Rattus norvegicus: one gene and its partners. The main gene of each other region encodes a partner of the protein of the gene in region 4 in a complex. Links are inferred from orthologs where the notes say so. Each region holds a gene or a part of one and is shown on either strand. Other genes may lie near its edges.

Region 1 (4,625 bases), on a different chromosome or scaffold from region 4:
AAAAGAAACTGACAGAACTCGGGGTACATGTATTTAACTGGAAGACATCAGATGTATCGATGGTATCCAGCTTAGGAAATGAGGCAGGGATGCCATCGACCTCCAGGAACACATTAAGTATGGAGGCAAATTTTGTTTTGAGGCTATTAAAAGTTCCTCTGGAAGCAGGTCAAGGTACCCAACAGGAAACTGGATCCATGGGTTTAAACTGAGAAACGGTCAAGATGGAAACACAAGTACACTAGTACCCCGAAATGTTAAACACCGACACGTTCTTACCCTTGACGTCATTTCACTGAAACTTGATGCAACTGTCAAGAGTTGACCAGTTCCATTTATTCTCATAGCTGTAAAAATTCCACATAATTGTTAAAGTCTGTAGGTGACAACTTTAGAAAGTTAAGTAGGAATTTTTGTCATGTCTTTCTTATTGTTTTGTTTGTTTGTTTGTTTGTTTGAACCTGTTTCTTTGGGTCTGTTATTCATTCAATCTGTCTGTCTTATCTTTCCAGGACAGATGAAGTACTGTAAAGAAGTGTAGTATAAAAAGCATTTGCTCTTTATCTTAATTGTAAAAGAAAAGCACCACATACTTCTACCTTTAAGAAAACCTAAGTAATGAGTTATGGAAGTGACTGTCCCTCATCTCCTGCACCTCACGGGCCTTTACTTAACTACATCTCCACTGCTGTTAATAAAGCTCCAACCATAGATGTATCGCACTGTTAGAAATCCAAGTCAGGGGTACCTTGTCTAACGATGGCCTAGCTTGGTGGGAGGTGGGAAGTACCTGTTGGCAAGGAAACAACTGCTTCCTTCCTGAGCAAGGGAAAAATATGAAGGTGACAGATGGGCAGACCAAAAAAGCAGCCACAGCTGCCCTGGCTTCTCGTTGGCAAGAATTTTAAGAACCAAGTCAGGACTGGATAGCTTAAAGTCTATCAAGGATTGAGAGAGCATCATCTGTCTGGGTGTTTTCCCACACATTTACATTTCACAAATGTTAAATTTGAAATGGTAGCAAGAGCCTTGCCTTCGCTTGTCTAATGTGAGCTAAGACTACAAGGCACTGTCCCATTGCATGTTTAGGATTATACCCAAAAGAATGCACTTTCTGGTTAAAAATGTTTTCAAAAAGAAATTTCATTTTTGTAGTTATATTAGTGTGATTTACTAGAGTTACTATGAAAATTGTTAGAAAATGTCCTTATTTACTTTCATATACTTAATTTTAAAATATTTGCTGCAAAGTGTTATTTCTCCTTTTGTCGTTTTTCCCTCCCACCCACCTTTCTGCCTAGGACATTAAATATCAAGGGCTCCTGGGTAAACTAGACAACCAGTGGACTGATATCACTAACATTATTTTAGCTGTAAGAAGGTAAGTTCTTCAGTAGATGGAAAATAGCAACCATTGAAAAACACCAAAAATTAGTGTGCCATGAATTATGGAATTTTAAAACATCAGTTTACTAAACTGAAATTCAACATTTATATTTTCATCAGAACTTAATAATCCCATAAATAAATAGAGCTCTCAATTATTTAAAAAAATCAAGGGATAACATATGTATTTAGACATATTAGCAGCGTAAAATGTATGCTTCAACACACTTATTGATAAAAAGTCCGAAAATATTACTACACTGAATTCAAGGGCATCCGCAGGAACCTGACATAGAAATTCTCTAGAATAACATTTCAGGAATTTCCAAAAAGAGGGAAGAGTCAAATAGGAAACAGCTTCAACGTAATCGACAAAGTTCAGTGCTTGCTCTAACTTGATTTTTTTGTCTCTCCATTGGGGGAGGGGGATTCAAGACGAGTGAGTCACTTTGAGGAAAGTTCATCTACTGGAATAAAGGGGGAGGCTGCTTGGGCAGGCGACACAGGAGAGTCGGTGGTAGTGCTGACTTTCGCTGGTGAATTACAGGAAGATCCGGCACTGCTGCTGTTTCCATCCAGGGTATCAGAAGATACACACACTCCGGGCTCTGACAGCTGTGCAACGTCAGAAGAAAGCATGTTGGTGATGCCCTGGAAAAATCTCTTTGGCTGATAATCAGTTTCCATTTCACATTTTCTTTTCAATGGTCCAAGAACACTTGGTCTAATGCAGTTGATGGGACTCTGGCTTCTCCGGGTAGTAAACCGGGTGGTTGGGCTGGGAATAGGACTTGGAGGCAATCCGTTGCTACTCACAAAACTTTGCAAGGACGGTGAAAAACACTGCTTCCCAATTCCCCGGGTGGGTGACGGTGCTGGAGACACCGGAATGAAATCGATGCGCTTTGGAGAGGCGGATTTCTCCACGTCGTTGTCACTCAGGCTGAAACTTTCCTCCCAGGAGTGGCTTATCTGCATTGCGGTCTGCACCTCGCGCTCGTGGACCGTCTCTCGGTTGATCAGGTCCATGCCCTCCTCTTGTTTGATCTGGTGCAGGCGGCTGCTGTGCATTCGGACCGGCGAGGCCGGGAGCAGCAGGCCGTGGCGGCTCGGGAACGTCGTGCTGTTCCTCCTGGCGCTAGGCGCCTCGGCCTGGAACACCGGCGAGGAGTCGCTGAGGCCGTGGATGAGGGGGGCGCTGTTAGACCTCCGGAGGCCCCCGCTGCCCGGGCCGCCGCCTTCCGCTGGGCTAGCGCCCGTGCCCGCGGGCAGCTCCAGGTCCAGTTCCATCTTCTCCTGAGCCATGTCGCGGCAGGGAGGCGGGGGCGGTGCTCAGTCAGGGCCCTGGGACTCCCATTCCCCGCGGCCCAAGGCCGCCGCCGCCGCCGCCTTCGAGAATCTGTCAGAGGGCTCACGCCTCTGCGCATGCGTGTCCCTTCGCGCAGGCGTCCTGACACGCTCGTTCTTGAGGCGCCAGCTTAATGCGTCATTGCTGTGGCGCCGCGGCGGGGAAGGGGCGAGCAGTGGTTGGGCGACTCCTCTGTTCGTTCCTTCCGCAAATAATCACTGGGCGCGGGCTCGCGGGAAGGCTGGTTAGAGAGGCCGGGGCGCTCAGAAGTATATGTTTATGAAGCAAGTATGAGCTCAGAAAGATAGTCCCTTGGTGATGTGGGGCTTCATGATGGAGCACGGTCTAGCCTGGGTGGGCTTCCCGAGGGATGGAGCACAGGCTTCTGAAGTCTAAAGGAGGCAACAGCGGCGCTTTGTAAAACTGTCCTGAAAGCGGGAAACCTCTGCTGCCCAGCTAGGTGGCAGATGGGAACCAGTAGAAGAGAGTTGTTAGCCTGATGGTGGACAAGAATAGGTTCTGGTCTTTCTTGAGAACAATAAAAACTCCCAGGCGTTCTCAAAGAAGGATAGAAGGGTACAGTAGCAGCTGAACTATTGGAGCCTTAGGCTGAGATCTGAAGAATAAGACATGGGAGTAGAACCCACAGGGAAAAGGCCAAAGAGGAGGGTAATTTACCCCAGGGCTGAATCTGGGAGGGGAAAGGGAGAGAATAGTAGACTTAAGGTGATTGGGAGGAAGAAGCTTTGTGACATTTTTTTAAAGTTGTCATATTTCTGCTGCTAACCATTTACTTACTCATGCTCACTCGGTATGGGAATTCAATGAAAGAAAAAAAATGCACACATTTAAAGAATAACAGGTTTTGGTTTATGTAATTAATACAAAACTTTGTATCTCATTAAATAGAATTGTATTTGTTCATTTATTCAGTCAACTCTCCTATCCGGGCACACCTACTTACTGTATTAGGAAATGAGACTTGTGTGAGGTCATTCACTTGCTACTGGATGGGAGTGGGGATTGACAAAATAGGAGACTTTTGGTGTTAAGTGTTTGGGAGAAAAGTGGGATGGTGTGGTCTAGCACTACTGATGGAAGTTAAGGGACAATTGGGCAGAGTTAAGTTGTAAGTTACAAATCCTGTGGACTGCAGAAGGTGGGGGCAGGACCAAGCGTTCCAACCAATGCTTAAGGGCCAACAGACCCACTGGCTTGGCGACGAACAGGAAAGAAAAAGCAAGATGGAGACAGTGATCTTGGAGGGCAAAGGACTGAGCACCTAGTCCTTTGATGAGAAGACACTGAGCAGTGTTAGGCAAGGGAATAATAGGCTTGTGCTTTGTTCATCTGTTATGGTTTGAGATGGAGTCTCACTAAGTCGTTGCTCGGGCTAATCTCAAACTTCTGGGCACCAGTGATTCACCTCAGCCCCGAAGGAAGTAGGACAAAGCTATACAGTGCCACACTCAGCTTGGTTTATGTTTTAAACACTAGTCTGGCTCCATGGAATATGAGCTGAAAGAGGGCCAGAGGCAAGAGTGGAGGCCAAAAGATAGGTTAGGAAGCTGCTACTCAGCAGAGTTCTGGAGTAGGGTTGTAGCAGTAGTGAATGGGGAGAAGTAGTGAACCCCGACACTATGTAATCGGGTTCAACCACTAAGATTTGCCAATAGATTAAATGTTGGTGTTCAAAGAAATAGGTAATTTAAATGGTTATGTCAAATAGGAAAGGTACACGGGGTGGATGTTAAGAGTTCAGTTTGGGTAGGCTTGAGGAAGTATAGATATACATCTGGCCACTTTGAACTAATAGTAATATTTTTTTTTCAGCTGAAGAAGGTAAGATACAGAGGTCAGTGACATGCAGCATTGCACAGCTTGTTAGTGG
Region 2 (5,211 bases), on a different chromosome or scaffold from region 4:
CCTTTTGTCTCTTTCCTGTTTCTGCCTCTTAAGCATTCTACTTAGTTAGAAACTAGTGGCATCTTTTGAAGAACTAGCAATTATATTTAAAACTGAGTGTCTAATTGGTTTGCTCCTAAGAGATTACCTCTTAAGTACTGAACGTTTTGCCTCAGACAAAACGGTCTCTTTAAATTGTCTTGGCTGTCATCTGTTTATCGTGACCAAAACCACTTATGTCATCATGTAGGGTGACAAGAGCAAATCAGGAAGTTCTGCTACATGAGAATTAAATTTACCCAACCTTCCTTAGTCTCCTTCTCTGGTTTGATACACATAATTTCACTTTCAACATTTACTTTCTACAACTGAAGACAAATGTCAGCCTTGACATCTAATGGAACACGAGTGATGAACCTGAACATTTAGAGAAGTCAATCTCATCGGTTTCTTCATGACTGGTCCTACTAAGACCTCTAAAGTTGCTTTCTAAACCCCACTCCCACCCCAATTCAAATCTACAAAGTGACCCATGGTCTAATAGATTACCAGATCTGTTTAGGAAACAAAGTTTTGGTGGAAATACTTGATATTGGAAAGGCTGTAAAACTTGGCGTTTAGTATTATTTAATATTAAAGATTCCATCAAGTCAAACTATAGAAAACCATGACTACAGAGAAAGCTGTTTCAGTGGCAGGTTTCAAACTGCCAGTCATTAATTCCAGTATCTATTAGTCCTGTGAATGGGGATGTGCGTGAAAACAAAAAAACCAAACCAAACCCTTAAACGTGTCTCTCTTGATACTTATTCTAGTCAGCCAACAATGTCCCTAGCCTGTGACTGGCTGATACGAAGAACCACACCTTCCATTTCCCAGCCTGGCTGCCCCTCCCCCCACCTGGTTGGAAACCCAGACAAGTGATTACATACATACAAGCAGGTAGTGGAGTTGCTTCAAAATATTTAATACGTGTTAGACACGTAAAGTTACATTTTTATACAAAAATCAATACAGAGGAGGAGAAAATACTGTACAAAAACCTTATCAGCTCCCCCAACCTTTATACAACAAAGACTGGAGTCACCGTATCTACAAAACCATAAGGTCCTTCCACTTAGAGCTCGTCTGTAAACTTTGTTTCATTAAACACTTTTTAAAAGCACTGTGTAGTAAGTTCTGAGCTAGAGCTTTTAAAAATATATCTTTTTCTCTATAAACTCCATATTTCCAAGCTTGAACTCTTCTGTGAAGTTCAGCAAGCTTTTTTTCCCCTGTGGGGAATTGAAGGTCCCTTAATGTTCTGCTTTCCCAGAGTAATCACAGGGTAGAAGCGCTTCTTCTGTGCCAGAGAAAGATGGGGAGGAAGAAAAATAATACAAGTCTCTACTCCAGACGAACTCCCTCTAGTCTGGGGAAATCCTGTGAGAAAACGCCACTCCGCGCCCCGGTGTGGTCCTAGCTTTCAGGAGAGAGGTTGTGTGTAAAGTCCCTCTCTTCCCCAAGATCGATCGGGGAACTCCCCTGTCTCGAACCTTTCAGCAGCTTCCTTTTCTGTGCTGCTGGCAGAGGAAAGTCCCTGTTTGCACCCCCAAAGTCTCGAGAACGGGGAAGGGGTGGTGCATTCCAGAACCACAGAATCGTCTCAACACAAGACAAACTTACACATGGACACACACTGATACAAAAGTTAACGATCGATCGTCCTCTTCCAATAAGCCTCCCACTCTAGGTCTCAGGATGAGACTCGAGAGCCACGGCCCAGCCGGGCTGCCCCTTCCGGGGCGATGTGCTGCCCGGCAGCAACCAGTCTCCCTTACGCGCCCAGCGCCTACGGTCTCGGCTCGTCCTCGCGGCCGGGAAAGGCCCCGGCCGCACTTCGGGGACTCCCGCTGCTCAAGCTCCAGCCGCTCAGGTCCCGGGGGATCAGAAGGCCACGATGGCTGTGCTCCAGGGGCTCATGTCTCTCAGAACCGGCTTGTCGCAGCAGATCTGCCCGGGCTCGGAGGCTTCCGGGCCGCCCTCCTCCGCCTCCTCTTCCTCCCGCCCGGCCGCAGGGCTTTTCCGTAAGAGTCCCGAGAAGCTAGACCCGAAGATGCTGATGAGGTTTGCCACGTTCCCGGTTTCCATCTCCTCGTCGGTGTCCTCCTCGTCGGTGACCGGCTGCTCCTCGGAGTTCCGGCGCGGCTTCTTGAGAGGGGTAGAGCCGGGCGCGGAGCAGCCCGCGCGGCCGCCACCCACTCCCGCTGCGCCACGCTTCCTGGGACACGGGGCGGCTGGCGCCGGGGACCCGTTCTCTGAGGACCGCTCCTCCACGGCCGACGGACAGCCACACGGGCGGCGCAGTGCCCGGGGCCCCTCGGAGCACGCGTCCGAGCTGCCTCCAGAAGGCGCCACGCGCGGACGTTCCACGCGGCCCCAAGCAGCTGCCGCCGAGTCCTCCTCTCCGCCCCGTAGAGCGTCCTCCGCTCCGGACACCGCGGCCACCGGTTCTGGGCTTCCCGCTCCCGGCGTGTGGCACACCGAGGGACGCTGAGGCTGAGGCTGAGGCTGCGGCTCGGGCTCCGGCCAGGCGGCGCGGGCGACCGGTGGGGGCGGCTCTCCCCAGCCAGATGGTGGCCCCGCTACCGGCTCTCCGGGCTGCTGTGGCGGCGGTACCGCCGGGGTCCCCGCAGGGCCGGCCAGGTAGAGGCCAGGGCAGGGGTCACTCAAGTAGACTTGGCGGGCGCTGCGCAGCACTAACGACACCAAGAGGTTCTTGTGCAGCTTGATGCCGCCGCGCTGGACCCGCGAGTTGTAGATCTTGCCCAGGGAGATGCTGACGATACGGTGAGCCTCCAGCTTGAACTCCATCCTGCCTCCTCTTCCAGACGACGGGGTGAACGCCTGCTTGCCTTCTAAAGCTGAGAGAGGCGCGAGAGGCAGGAACAGGTTCGCCTCTGTGGTTGTACCCTCAGCGTGTGAAAGCTCGGTGGAGAAAAGATCTAGTGATGCGTAGTTCCCTCCGCCTTTTCTCCTCAGTCAACAGACCCGTTCTGGGCCAGCCTCTAAACTGAGCGGTGCGGGGCCACACCGCGGTTTATATATGCTCCGCGAACGCCAATCACAAAGCGCCGCCAACCGTTCTGGGCGGGCCGATGCGCCTCGTGCGCCACCCCCGGCCAATCAGAGGCAGAGGAGGAGCCCCGGGGCCGGTTCAAACGTTAGTCCCGCGGAGCAAGCTCTTAAAGGGGGAGATCGCAGGCGACCCTTTGATCAAGTGCGGTGGGATTTGTGTTCTGAGCGGGTGATGTGGTAGAACGAAGCACACAGAACTGTTTGTAGTTAGGAATTCCGCTTTGTGAAGTACATTGGCACACTGTAAGGAACCGAACTATTGGGGCTTTCATCCGTTTAGTGTGTTGGAATCTACTGCACAATAAAGTTCGGTTCCTTTCATGAGCAATTTCCAGCTGCTTACAGCTGGTACAGCTGTAACTTCTGGTCATTCTTGGCAGAAACGGAAGCGATGGCAATATATGACAACTACCACGATATATTTGAGATATTATTTTGGAGTTAGTCCCTTTCCCATTAGCGTTACACTCAGCATTTGACTACAAACAAAAAGGGGAGTTTATAGAAATTTCCAAGCTTCTGCTTTATCAAGGAACAGAATTCAGGCACAAAGTTATTGGTTCTCGTCCAAAGCTGGCATATTTCATTCCATTCCTCAGATTCTCAGTTGTCAGTATAGATTAAATGAAGATGTTACCTACTTTTCCACAATGGTTTTGTCTGTTTAAAAAAATGCACAGTAAGTAATTGATCTATTCTTGGGGAAATCTAGTAAGTTCTAAAAATACAAATAAAGAAGTTCTGGTTCCCCATATTGATTATGTAAATTTGTTTTGTGTCAAGTATGGGCAAAAGTTCCTAAAATTTTCCTGGTTAGTCAATGTAGTCCATCCACTGAGTCTTACAAATTCCTGTCAAAAAGACCACGACAAGATGGTACTGGTGCCTGATGACTCAGTAAATTGCCTCATGGCCCTTTAGTTTCAAATCTAAAAAGGAAAAATCATGTATATACCTTCTTTATTATACAGAAGATAAATGACAGCTCCCAGAGGTAATCTAAATAATAAAATTAACCACAGCTTACACAGAGTCTATTAGTGTGAAAAGTTTACCTCATCCTACAGTAGGGTTTTCCTAACCAATGTATTTATGTAGAAGAAACACTAGTGAGGTAGGCTTGATTAGAGCTGGTTAACAACTAGGATGCGCTCAGATATGATGCTTTGGGGTGCTAGCTTTGGCCATTATCCCTGCTATAACTGAAGCCCAGGGTTCCCCCCTTCCAGGAATTCTCAGTCCACATAGAGAAGGAGAGAAAACATTTATAACATGTAGCAACCACAACGTATGGTCAGTAATAACATGAGGTTCTTCTCCATTTTCTCTCCTTAAAAAAATTTTTTTACAAATATTTATTGAATATTGAAATCCAAGTCTGCATCTAGATCCTGACCACTCACCCTTAAAACAACAGAGGGGTGTGTGTGTGTGTGTGTGTGTGTGTGTGTGTGTGTGTCCCTTCAGGTTTCCTAAGGAATGCAGTCCAGTGAGGTTCTGATGGAACCCACTGTATTACAAATGACCTATACTCATGAGGACACAGTGTATCTGGTAATGCTGTATCTCACAGATATATTTATCAACGCCATGTAGTAAGTGGTACTTGAACTCACGTATGGAGATAGCCCATGTTCCTAACACAGCTTGTTTAAATTTACAGGCTGACTGACAGTACATCTGGGGTAGAGCCTGACAACCTAGTCCTTTCAAAGCTTTGTTTCTTTCATCAGCGCTTCTTTAAAAAAATATTAATTTATTTAGTTTGTGTTTTTTGAGACAGGGTTTTTCTGGCTGTCCTGTCCTGGAACTAGCTCTGTAGACCAAGCTAGACTCGAACTCAGAGACCTGCCTGCCGCTGCCTCCTTATGCTGGGACTAAAGGTGTGTACCACTATGCCCACTGAGCATTCTGACTTTATTAAAAAAAAAACCAAAAAACAAAAACAAAAAAACAAAGTCCATCAGTTCCATTCCTACCCCAATTTTCTGATAAACCCAGAAATAATGGGGTTTTCAGATTGTCCTAATAAGGCTTAGGAACATCTTGAAAGGGCCAAGGCCTCAGGCCTCACCAGACTTCCACTGGGAAAAGTGTGAGAACTTTTAAGTCACT
Region 3 (4,870 bases), on a different chromosome or scaffold from region 4:
AAAATGATTGGTAAGGGCTTGAGAGGAAGGATGGAAAAGAGGGTGGGGTCCCAAATAATCATGCAATTCTCAACCCCATTTGAGATGCTAGTCGTGTTCTTGCTCTGACTGAACCCCATTTATCTGCTAAGAACCTAGTTCCAGAGTAGAGTCCTTCCTCCATGGGCAGCTGTCACTGCCTACAAAGGGCAGCTCCAAGTCCCTTGTTACAGCAACAGTGCCCGGTACTGGGGTTATGACTGGACCCTGCTCTCTTATCACTTCAGGGACAGCAAAACCTGGGTCCTCACTCACGAGCTGTCCAGCCAGCAGAGGCATGTATTCAATGATGGCCAGCCGCACTCGCCACTTGGCATCTTCAGCGAGTTCCACGATGGCAGGAAGCAAGGACTGCGAGAGCTGCCGGATGCCAATCACTTCATTCACACAATCCAGGTTGGAAATGATGTTCAGCCGCACCTCAGGACACTTGGAAAGAAAACAGGAAGGTTGAGAGAAGATACTATATACAGCGACCTAAGAAGGGTGAGAGGAACAGCCAAGAGCTCCTTTCTGGCTATTGTCCCTTAACACAAAATATCCACCTAGTCTCACTCAGGGTAGCGGAGGCTATGCAAGGGGAAATGGGAACCACTGGATAAACTGAAAGAAGTATCCAGTTTCTGGAACACAAAGGAATGAATATGCTGTGTTTATTCTCTATCACTCATTTCTTCCCACTGACATGGAACTCTGTACCTTGAGATGCATGTGACAAATCTCTGACTAGAGGTATTATGAACTCCAATGTATCCATTCACACTCATTCCATAGGGCAGGGACATCTATGGGAACAGACATGTGGAGCAGCCGCACATTGGCTATGAAGAGAAACTTCTCCGGAAAACTGAAAATGCAGACCCAAGAGCCTTATTTTTTTCTTGTGGTGCTAGAAACTAAATCCAGAGCTATCAATGTTAAAACCTTTCAACTGACTTCACACACCATTTTTAAGAAAGACTTCTTGAGTACAAACAGCCTATGAAGCATCTTTGACCCAGTCTGGGAAAGGGGACAAATCTGCATTCACCATCACAGAATTAGCCACTGTGTAATCTACCAACAAGCTCCATTAAAGACTGTCAGTGGACAGCATCACACTAGTCTGGCTTCCCAGGACCTCTGGCCATCTCTCTTCTCTCTCCCTACCACTGGCTATACTTTCCTAACAGAAAGATCTCTTGCAGCTGCAGCACTTGCCTACAGGTTCAAATCCAATTCTCTAAACTCTTACCAGTGACTTCTTTCATTCTCCATAGTCTAAAGCCACTTGCACAAGCAAGTATGGTGACCAGACTGGCTATGGCCAACAGAGCATGTAGAAGACACAAGCTAGAGCTATTTCAATGGGACCTTCAGTGGGCCAGGAGACAAATTACAGCTGTGGCATCAGACCAAGAAAGCCAGGCCAGCAAGGCTAATCTGTCACAATAGGGCCAGCTGGAATGATGTGAGAGGAATAATCATAACTGACTAGATGTTACTGTATTCTAGTCTCTATGTCACCTAAAGCTTTAAACCGTGGCCCACCTCTCCCAGTACCTACAATTTCTGAGTGGAATTATGGAACACTTTATCTCTCTGTTCCTCTCTACTGGCACATTTGTAAGTCCTTAAAGATCACCACTGTCTTGGTCTTTGTTCATGTCCTAAATACTCAGGAGACAGATGAGTGCAAAATTAAGGGAACTTGAAGCAATGTCTGAGAAGAATGAATGAACAAGCAGACATGAATGCCTGTCATCTACTCAGCAAAGCAGGGAGTGTGGAGTGTGATGCCAAAATTTTATACTCTTGGATAATTGATTGATTCTGCAAACCTTTCTGCCACTCTTACCTCATCCTTCAGCTGAGCCAAGAACAGGGGCAAGAGGTGTTCGATGGTATTGTCTTTGCCCAGAATGGGAGAGAGGCCCATGATGACTGAAGCCAGTGCTGACTTGACATGTTGGTTGGCATCGGACACGAGTTCCTTCAGAAAAGAATGAAGGAGGTAACAAAGGTCAGAAATCCCCTTTAATTGCAACTGGTCACATAGATAGTAGCCCCGATGGCCCAAGAAGACCACAGTCTTCTGCTTTTCACATATGTGGGGCATCACAGGGCTGCACTGGATTTATTCTCAACAGGGATTGTTTGTTATGTGAACCCCAACCCAGGGTCACTGCCTCATTCTCCAAAAACTCTGTTCATAAGGGGACTCTGGTCTTGGAGCAGCAAATACATCCCTTAGACCTTAGGGTCAGCAGCAACCCTCAGATTTTGTCTACAGCTCAGTTACTACATCCCAAAAGGACTGAAAACCTGGCTTGGATCAGACTGTACCTAAAACAAAGTCTTCACCCATCTCTAGCAGTCTCAAATCCTACCATCAAACACTACTCTATTACCTTGATGCAGGGCAAGATCTGGGTCATGATCACATTCTCCCGGCAGTCAGCTGAGAGATTTTCACAGAACTCTGTGGGCAGGGACAGGAAGGTGCTGGTGAGACTTGATGCTCTGAGCCCATTTGTGCCTCTTAGAAAGCCACCCAACTAGTTGTGTTCTGGTTGCCAGCACCAACCTTTGACCTTGTGGGAGGCTGCGGCCCTCACCTCGGCCTCACAGTCTTTCATCAGGTTCTGGAAGGCAGGCACCAGATCTGTCTTAGTGATCTCAGGCCCAACTGCTTTCTGGAGCTGTACACAAAGAGAAGAGGAGCAGAACTGAAGAGTGTGGCAGCCACTCAGGGCTAAAGAGGCAAAAATGGAGAAGAAAGCACTAGAATGAGGTTAGGACACAGCACAAGGGACATAGTCCCAGCATAAAGACATGACCAATCAGTGAAGTTGTCACCTCTCTGATGACATCTTCAGAAATAGAACGATGGTTACAGGACATCCTCCACAGTATGTTTTACATTTATTGTTCAGGTTCTTTGAGGTTGAATTTCCCATTCCCTAAACACTGTTAAGTGGTTCCTGCTTTCACTAACATGAAAATATGTAAACATACTTAACAGTTTACTAAACTGGTTGGTATAATTTTCAAAAGTAAAATGATTAAAATGATTAAAAACAGTGAAGAAGGAAACACATGCCAGTAACAAGGATGTAGGAAAAGGATCTAGAACAGACAGCTTCAACTAGGTTGCTGGAAGAACAGTTGGGAGCAGGATGACTCTCTACTACTCAAAGAATTAAGCCTGCTTCCCTTGCAGATCAGAAGCCTGACTTGCCTTTACTTGGTACTACGCCTCCCAGGTACACATACTTCTACATGGCCAGGTCTCAAACTACTTTACTAGACCCAGGAATACAATCCTTAGGGATGAGTCTTCTAGCAGACCCCAGAAAACTAACCATCACAATGAGGAGCTCTTGTCCATCATTCCTGCCCCTTTGCTCACTTAATCTCAGCATCAGGCCATGAATGCTCCTGCTTTACTCTGTCTCTTATCTCCTACATACTCTGCACGGGCTTGTCTTTTTGTTCTGACATATTTCTTATCTAACTGCCACTCAATTGCAATGCCATCAAGCACACAGAACAAGACATAACATACTCCATTAGAACTAATATTTTTTAAAAGATTTATTTAAGAAGAGGGCATGTGACTGCATTACAGTAGGTTGTGAGCCACCATTGCTGAGAATGAACTCAGGACCTCTGGAAGAGCAGTCAGTGCTCTTAACCGCTAAGCCATCTCTCTAGCTCCCATCAGCACTTTCTAGTGAGGCTGACTTTTAGCCTGCTCCTTCAAGGCCAGGAATGTGTACACATAACTGACTCCAGAACCTCTACCAAAGGTAGTGCTAATAACAAACAAACAAACAAACAAAAGGACATAACTATGGACCTGCGAATATTGCAACAACAGTAGAGCACTTGCCTAACATGGGTTAAGAACTGGGTTCAACTCTCAGTATTAACAAGGGGAAAAACAACAACAAACCAACATGCTCTTGGCTAAGAAAATTTGGATCTTGGCACAAAGAGCACTTGTCCCTGATCTGACTAACATGTGGTTGATGACAACTATTACTGGGGCTGTGTCTTTCTTAGGGAAGTTGTGAGTTCAGGAAAAATGCTTTCATGGAATTGAAACTTGGCTTCAAAATCATTCTCATTACAGCACTTTGATTCAAATCACCCACAAGGACTGGCTCTGGGAGATGATTCGGTTGCCCATTAAGACTCAGGACGGACTGCTGTCCTAAAAAATAAAGCATGTCATCTCCTATATGTTGCTCCCTCCTCCCCTCAGAAAGCTTCAGTGTTCCCATCTGTGGAACTATGCCAACTTACCTCTGTGAATTTGTCTGCCACCATGTAGCGGACACGCCAAGACTTGTCCTCAGCAGCCTGTCGCAAGGTGGGCATCACTAAGGCCTCCAGGTCCTCCTGGGGCAGAAGCTGGGCGATATTCACGCATGCCTCTACTGCCAGCAGCCGCACCGAGTCCTGGGAAAACACAGGGAGGGGCAGGGAAGCAGAGGCCCACTGAGCCTTAAGGGTGCATTCCTTCCTCAGCTAGCAAGGGCATGGTGAGAGTTGGTGACTGGCTTACCTGCTCGTCAGAGGCCAGGTTAGAGAACATGGGAATGATCTCACTCTTGACATTGTCCAGCTCCAGTACCTTGGCAAACTCCCCCAGCTTGGAGGCAGCGGCCCGCCGCACCATGGGGGTATCATCTGAGCACAGGTTCCGGAAGTACCTGGAATTGGATGGAGGCCCAGAGTTGGAATCCTGGAAAGCCCTACCAGCTGGTGTCACAGTATAGCACAGCACAGAACAGCACAGCACAGAGCACTGCTGGGTCTGCAGTAAATTCTGGTGCTGACAATG
Region 4 (4,870 bases):
TAGAAGAACACAATGGAGAAGTGACTTCCAAGCTCATCATACAAGGATACAGACTAGGTCAGCATAATTGGTGGTTAGTAGTTGATATTGTCAGGCTTCGCCTCCGCACACTTTGCACACCTACTCACTTTATTCTTTGGAAATAAAAGTCTACCCATGTATTGTTTAAGACTATTTACTATGGACTCATGTATGATTTTATGTAGTTATAATTCTAAAATGGTATTTTTATACAAAAGCAAGACATTTTGAATGATCTTTTTTTTTTTTTGTTCTTTTTTTTCGGAGCTGGGGACCGAACCCAGGGCCTTGCGCTTCCTAGGTAAGCGCTCTACCACTGAGCTAAATCCCCAGCCCCTTGAATGATCTTATATAAGCAAAATTGAATATCATAGTTTTAAAATAGCCTGAAAGCCATTTTAAAAGTGATACAAGACAATCTACAGGGAGACACTAGAGCAGCCATTTCTACTGCCTGCTTGCAACACTTGATTCAAGTGTAAACTCCTGGCTTCAGCATCTTACAGTGTACCCCTAAGCTCTCATCTAGATCTTGTTTGTGATTCCTCTGCAGCTAGGCTCTGCTTCCAGTATACTACTAGGCTTACAGACAGATGGTTGAGTAATAGGTGCTCACATAAAAGCCATTTACACTCTCTTTCTTAACTTTGGAAGACATAAGCATTGCTTAGAAATCCCTTTCTGAAGATGAGAATGACAAATACCCCCCACCCCGAGCTCTATCTTCAGTCTATTGAAATTCATCAACCTTATAAACAGTCCAGATAGGACCGTAACATACCAAACTTTCAGATGGGATTAAATTAGTTCCTATTTTCTTAGAGAAAAACAAAACAGCGCATGTGTGCACACAGGCCCATGCCCCCCCCCCAACAAATAAAGCCCTCTAAAGCAAACAAACAACTCTGACAAAATCTGAAAGAATTTTTTTAAGGTACATTTTTTTTCAATCATAAAGCTTGTGACTTAGAATTTAAAAATGTTTTTGTTTCAGTCATGGAATACAGAACACTGAAATACTATAATAGTTACATGATCTCAGTGTAGTACACTGGGAAGCAGGAAGACAGGAAATAAAATTGCTACATGAAAATCCATTTAATTAATTATGACTTAAAAATATCTTGCCAAAAGCTCTGAGAACAACCTCTTTACTAGTGCTCATGCTCAATACGGTGAGCAGCAGGACTCAGGGAAAGGCAAACAACTTTTGTTTCTAACTCTGCATTTAATATATAAGGGCTTTGATGCTATGTCTCACAGTAAACATGGAGGCCACCCTATGAGTGCTGACATCTCCGAGATGCTTTATGTACATCAAAACCATTGGGCATGGCTCCAGTTTTACCCTTCCTCTACCTTCTCTAGCCCTTCACACTCAAACACAAGTCTGTAAAATGCTGACCTTTTAAATACTACCATATTGGGCCCTATTTTTAAACACATATCCCCCCAAGGTGTTACCAACGTCTTATTTAGATATCCCCCACCAATGTATGACTGTCTAATTTAGATTATCAGTAATAACAACGAAACACTGCAATCTGTTCTTTCAGGCTTGTAGTGGTTTGAATAATTATAGCCCCCATAGTCTCATGTATTTGAAAGCCTAGTCATCAGCGGTGGGCTTTGAGGTTTCCAAAGCCCATGCCAGATCCAGTCTGTCTGTCCCATTCCTTTCCATATCCCTTGCCCCTCCATGATGATAACGACTAAACCTCTAAAACTGTAAGCCAGTCCCAATTAAATGCTTTCTCTTATAAGAGTTGCCTTGGTCTTGGTGTTTCTTCACAGCAACAGAATAGTGACTAAGTCAAGGCCCTTAAATAATTTGTAGCATTATTCAGTATTTTCAAATGTAGGCACCTACTGTGCTTAGAGATACTGTCCACTGTCTATAGAACACACAGACTCCTAGGAAAGGAAGGTAAGGTAAGTATGTAACTGGGTATAATGTTGCCTTTAATCTCAATACTCAGGAAACAGAGGGAAGCAGAGTTTTGTAAGTTCCAGGTAGGCCTGGGCTACTGGTGAGTCCCTGTCTCAAAAAAAAAAAAAAAACAAAAAAAAAAACAAAAACAAAAACAAAACAAAACCAAAAATCAACTCTAGAGACAGAAATACCCTTGACCATAAAAACAAATATTTTCAAACCACAAACTACAATATACAACACACTTCCCAGGGATATTTGTTTCTAAAAGTAAAACAAAACAAATATATAAACACATAGTATAATCATATTACTTACTTGATGCAAAAAAAGTGTTGAAGAGCTATTTGATGTACCTCAGTTTACCACATAAATCAAAATGGAAGCAAGACTAGAAACTATCATCTGATTCTTCTATCAAGGATGCAATGTATTGCAGCCGTGTTATATCACTTTCTTTCAGGAAGAGGTGAGGTGGGATACAGTGGGCATACCCATGTTTGGGAGGCCAAAGTAGGATATCAACATTTCAAAGCTATCCTGGGCTATGATGCAAGACTGTCTCACTACCTCCCTTGCCTCGTAAACACGAAGAAATTGTCATTTATTTAGAAAGAGGAAGGCAGAGGGTAAAAAGGGTAAAAAAATTTAATTGAGAGAAAATGGGTCTCCAAGGAGGCATGGAATCAGGAGTAGAGCGATGTTTTATGCACTGCATCCCCATAAATTCAATACAATAAACCACAGGGTACAAGAGTGCACGAAGGGGCTCTAAATATCTCCCACTGTGTTACCCTAAGTAGTCATGAGTCTACACACTCTGCAAACAGAAAGATGTAAGTGCTAAGGTTTGCTTCTATTAATAGTTAGATGAGATAAATGTGAGATTTCTGCTAATGTGTGTCAGCCTAAAGTTTTAATAGACCATGACACCCAGATCTCAAAGTGTCACCCCCATCTCTTCAATCTCAAGGTCCTGATAAGTCAAAACTCACTCTCTCTCTCTCTCTCTCTCTCTCTCTCTCTCTCTCTCTCTGTCTATCTGTCTGTCTCTCTCTCTCTCACACACACACACACACACACACACAAATTTATACTACTCTTAATTTGTCATGCAAAACCTCAAACTCTGACCAACATTACACCCAGCTCTAACCCTTTCTCCCACCTTTCCTTACACAAATACAGCTAACATGAGAATCTTCTTCCACCCATGTGGCTTATAGAGAAGAAAGTGAAGAGCTAGTCAAAGTCAAGGAAGAAGCATACTCTCCTAGAAATCATCCTGGAGATAAATCATCTTCTGTAAAGTTTGGAAAGAAAATAAGCATTTTCTAAGCATTGGGTCTACCTGCCAAGTTACCATGTTAATATACATTCATAACAGTGCTGTAACAAAGACACTGCTACCTATGTCTTCTGGTAAGGAATATTCAACTCAGGATTTGGGATCAACCAAAGGAGGCAGAAATAAAATTGGCCTAAATAAAAAATTAGTACCCAGGAATCTGAATTTGCAAGTTAGCAATAAAAGAAGCAAAAGTAGTAAATTAACGTTCTGCACAAGGGAAGGGCCTGCATCCTCTGGAGAACCATATGCCCATGGATGCCTGAAAACAAAAGATGCACACTTACCATTGGTAGACAATAAAAACTGGGCAGCATTTTTCTGGGGTAACCACCTAATTTTGTTGATCTTCTCTTCTATTTCTAAGCTTTTCAAGTAGTCAAATTCTGGCTCATGGCTCTGGAAGGTGCTGTAAACATTGTATTCTCCTCTGCTATGAGACTGGATTTTGTTCTACAACAGAAAAAAAATATTTGGACTATGTTGAGAAATATATCAAACCATAATCAACTCCAACAGACTCTGAAAATTGTAGATACCCCAACCAGGCAGCTCTATCTTACACCCTATTGTACTGTTTTCTGTATTTAAAATTCTTCAAGGAGAAAGAAAGCTTTACGAAGAGCAAGAAGGAAACACTTAAGTAAGCTTCATTTAATAGGGAGATGGTACACCAAATACAGACTGATTTAATTAACTTGTATATTAAATAGCATAATCATACCGTTAAAGAAGAAAACTGAACACCCATAGTAATGGATACCATTTAAAATGTAAAATGAGAAAGCCACTGATCAGAAACAGCTAGCTGGAGCACATTTTGTCTGCTCTTTTATCTAATCTGATACTTGGTCTTTTTGCCGTTCCTTTCTATATTCCCTACTGAAAAGCTCTTTAAAAGGTGCTCTCATAAATCCAACAACCCATGTCACCCCTTTGGACAACTTTGCTGCCAATTAAGTATGCAACAGCACCCTGGCAACGCCTGCCTGAACCTCTGCTCCATGGCTTACTCTCCTGAGTTCTGATTACAGGAACCTCACACACCAATGCTTAGTTCACTTCGTGCCAGTCTGCTGGTATATATTTGTTCAATTAAAGGGATTCATATAAACATTACTTGTGACCTATCACACAATTAGAAACACTTTTGTAAGAATATTATTAAAAAAATTTACTAGAATCTTCAGAAAAATAAATGATATTACAACTGTATGGATAAGCAATCACTTTAATAAAAACCAAGTTATCAAGTGAAGTATTTATAGCTACCAAAATAGCCATCTTCCCATTCACATCAGAAGAAACCTGTTCAATTATCTCGGAAACACATACTTTGGTTTGTGTCTTCTAACAGTGTAGTCATAACTTTTCAATCACTTATTCTGGCACGTATCAATAATTAGTGAATGGGCTGGTCAAAACTGTGAAGTCTTCAGAATATACCAAGAACACATCCAACCTTGGGGTGTGTTGGTGTGCCACACTCATATACCAAATTCCATAACGTATTTGTTTTTTCATGTATACTAAAATACCACATGCTGTCAATCTTTCACCTAAACTTA

Evidence for each region.
Region 1: the proteins of Ppp2r2a (region 4) and Pabir1 are in contact, whole or in part, in a cryo-EM structure (PDB 8SO0), measured with the Homo sapiens proteins. The link is inferred for Rattus norvegicus from reciprocal best matches to the Homo sapiens genes PPP2R2A and PABIR1. Residues at the interface, in NP_002708.1 of Homo sapiens: Phe84, Leu87, Lys88, Ser89, Leu90, Tyr178, His179, Asp197, Met222, Glu223, Leu225, Thr226, Glu227, Val228, Tyr337, Asp340, Phe343; in NP_612206.5 of Homo sapiens: His81, Ser82, Ser83, Arg84, Leu85, Ile88, Lys89, Glu92, Arg99, Glu100, His103.
Region 2: the proteins of Ppp2r2a (region 4) and Ier5 are in contact, whole or in part, in a cryo-EM structure (PDB 8UO5), measured with the Homo sapiens proteins. The link is inferred for Rattus norvegicus from reciprocal best matches to the Homo sapiens genes PPP2R2A and IER5. Residues at the interface, in NP_002708.1 of Homo sapiens: Glu91, Ile92, Glu93, Glu94, Asp116, Tyr178, His179, Asp197, Leu198, Met222, Leu225, Thr226, Glu227, Val228, Thr230, Ser247, Phe280, Phe281, Glu283, Ile284, Ser287, Cys334, Tyr337, Glu338, Asn339, Asp340, Phe343, Lys345; in NP_057629.2 of Homo sapiens: Ala7, Arg9, Ile10, Ile13, Ser14, Lys17, Arg25, Gly26, Lys29, Leu30, His31, Lys32, Leu34, Leu35, Val36, Leu38, Val39, Leu40, Arg41.
Region 3: the proteins of Ppp2r2a (region 4) and Ppp2r1a are in contact, whole or in part, in a crystal structure (PDB 3DW8), measured with the Homo sapiens proteins. The link is inferred for Rattus norvegicus from reciprocal best matches to the Homo sapiens genes PPP2R2A and PPP2R1A. Residues at the interface, in NP_002708.1 of Homo sapiens: Pro103, Gln104, Lys105, Asn106, Ala107, Phe110, Lys123, Arg127, Lys129, Pro131, Glu132, Gly133, Tyr134, Asn135, Leu136, Lys137, Thr147, Val149, Thr150, Thr151, Leu152, Arg153, Val154, Pro155, Phe157, Arg169, Arg170, Asn186, Ser187, Asp188; in NP_055040.2 of Homo sapiens: Leu10, Tyr11, Ile13, Ala14, Val15, Ile17, Asp18, Arg21, Ala41, Leu42, Arg46, Glu50, Leu51, Phe54, Asp57, Thr58, Tyr60, Asp61, Thr98, Val99, Glu100, Glu101, Thr102, Trp140, Phe141, Thr142, Thr178, Pro179, Met180, Arg183.

What each region holds. Positions count from the first base shown.
Region 1 is NC_086019.1:231,539,965-231,544,589, forward strand, and holds Pabir1 (P2R1A-PPP2R2A-interacting phosphatase regulator 1), read right to left. Parts: upstream 2,754-4,625; 5' UTR 2,692-2,753; coding exon 1,831-2,691; 3' UTR 1,447-1,830; downstream 1-1,446. UniProt on the Homo sapiens protein: Acts as an inhibitor of serine/threonine-protein phosphatase 2A (PP2A) activity. Inhibits PP2A activity by blocking the substrate binding site on PPP2R2A and the active site of PPP2CA.
Region 2 is NC_086031.1:69,819,525-69,824,735, forward strand, and holds Ier5 (immediate early response gene 5 protein), read right to left. Parts: upstream 3,019-5,211; 5' UTR 2,833-3,018; coding exon 1,906-2,832; 3' UTR 926-1,905; downstream 1-925. UniProt on the Homo sapiens protein: Plays a role as a transcription factor. Mediates positive transcriptional regulation of several chaperone genes during the heat shock response in a HSF1-dependent manner. Mediates negative transcriptional regulation of CDC25B expression.
Region 3 is NC_086019.1:69,222,381-69,227,250, reverse strand, and holds part of Ppp2r1a (serine/threonine-protein phosphatase 2A 65 kDa regulatory subunit A alpha isoform), read right to left. Parts: intron 4,740-4,870; coding exon 4,592-4,739; intron 4,486-4,591; coding exon 4,330-4,485; intron 2,721-4,329; coding exon 2,606-2,720; intron 2,501-2,605; coding exon 2,430-2,500; intron 2,012-2,429; coding exon 1,877-2,011; intron 469-1,876; coding exon 295-468; intron 1-294. UniProt on the Homo sapiens protein: The PR65 subunit of protein phosphatase 2A serves as a scaffolding molecule to coordinate the assembly of the catalytic subunit and a variable regulatory B subunit.
Region 4 is NC_086033.1:45,390,225-45,395,094, forward strand, and holds part of Ppp2r2a (serine/threonine-protein phosphatase 2A 55 kDa regulatory subunit B alpha isoform), read right to left. Parts: intron 3,756-4,870; coding exon 3,590-3,755; intron 1-3,589. UniProt on the Homo sapiens protein: Substrate-recognition subunit of protein phosphatase 2A (PP2A) that plays a key role in cell cycle by controlling mitosis entry and exit. Involved in chromosome clustering during late mitosis by mediating dephosphorylation of MKI67.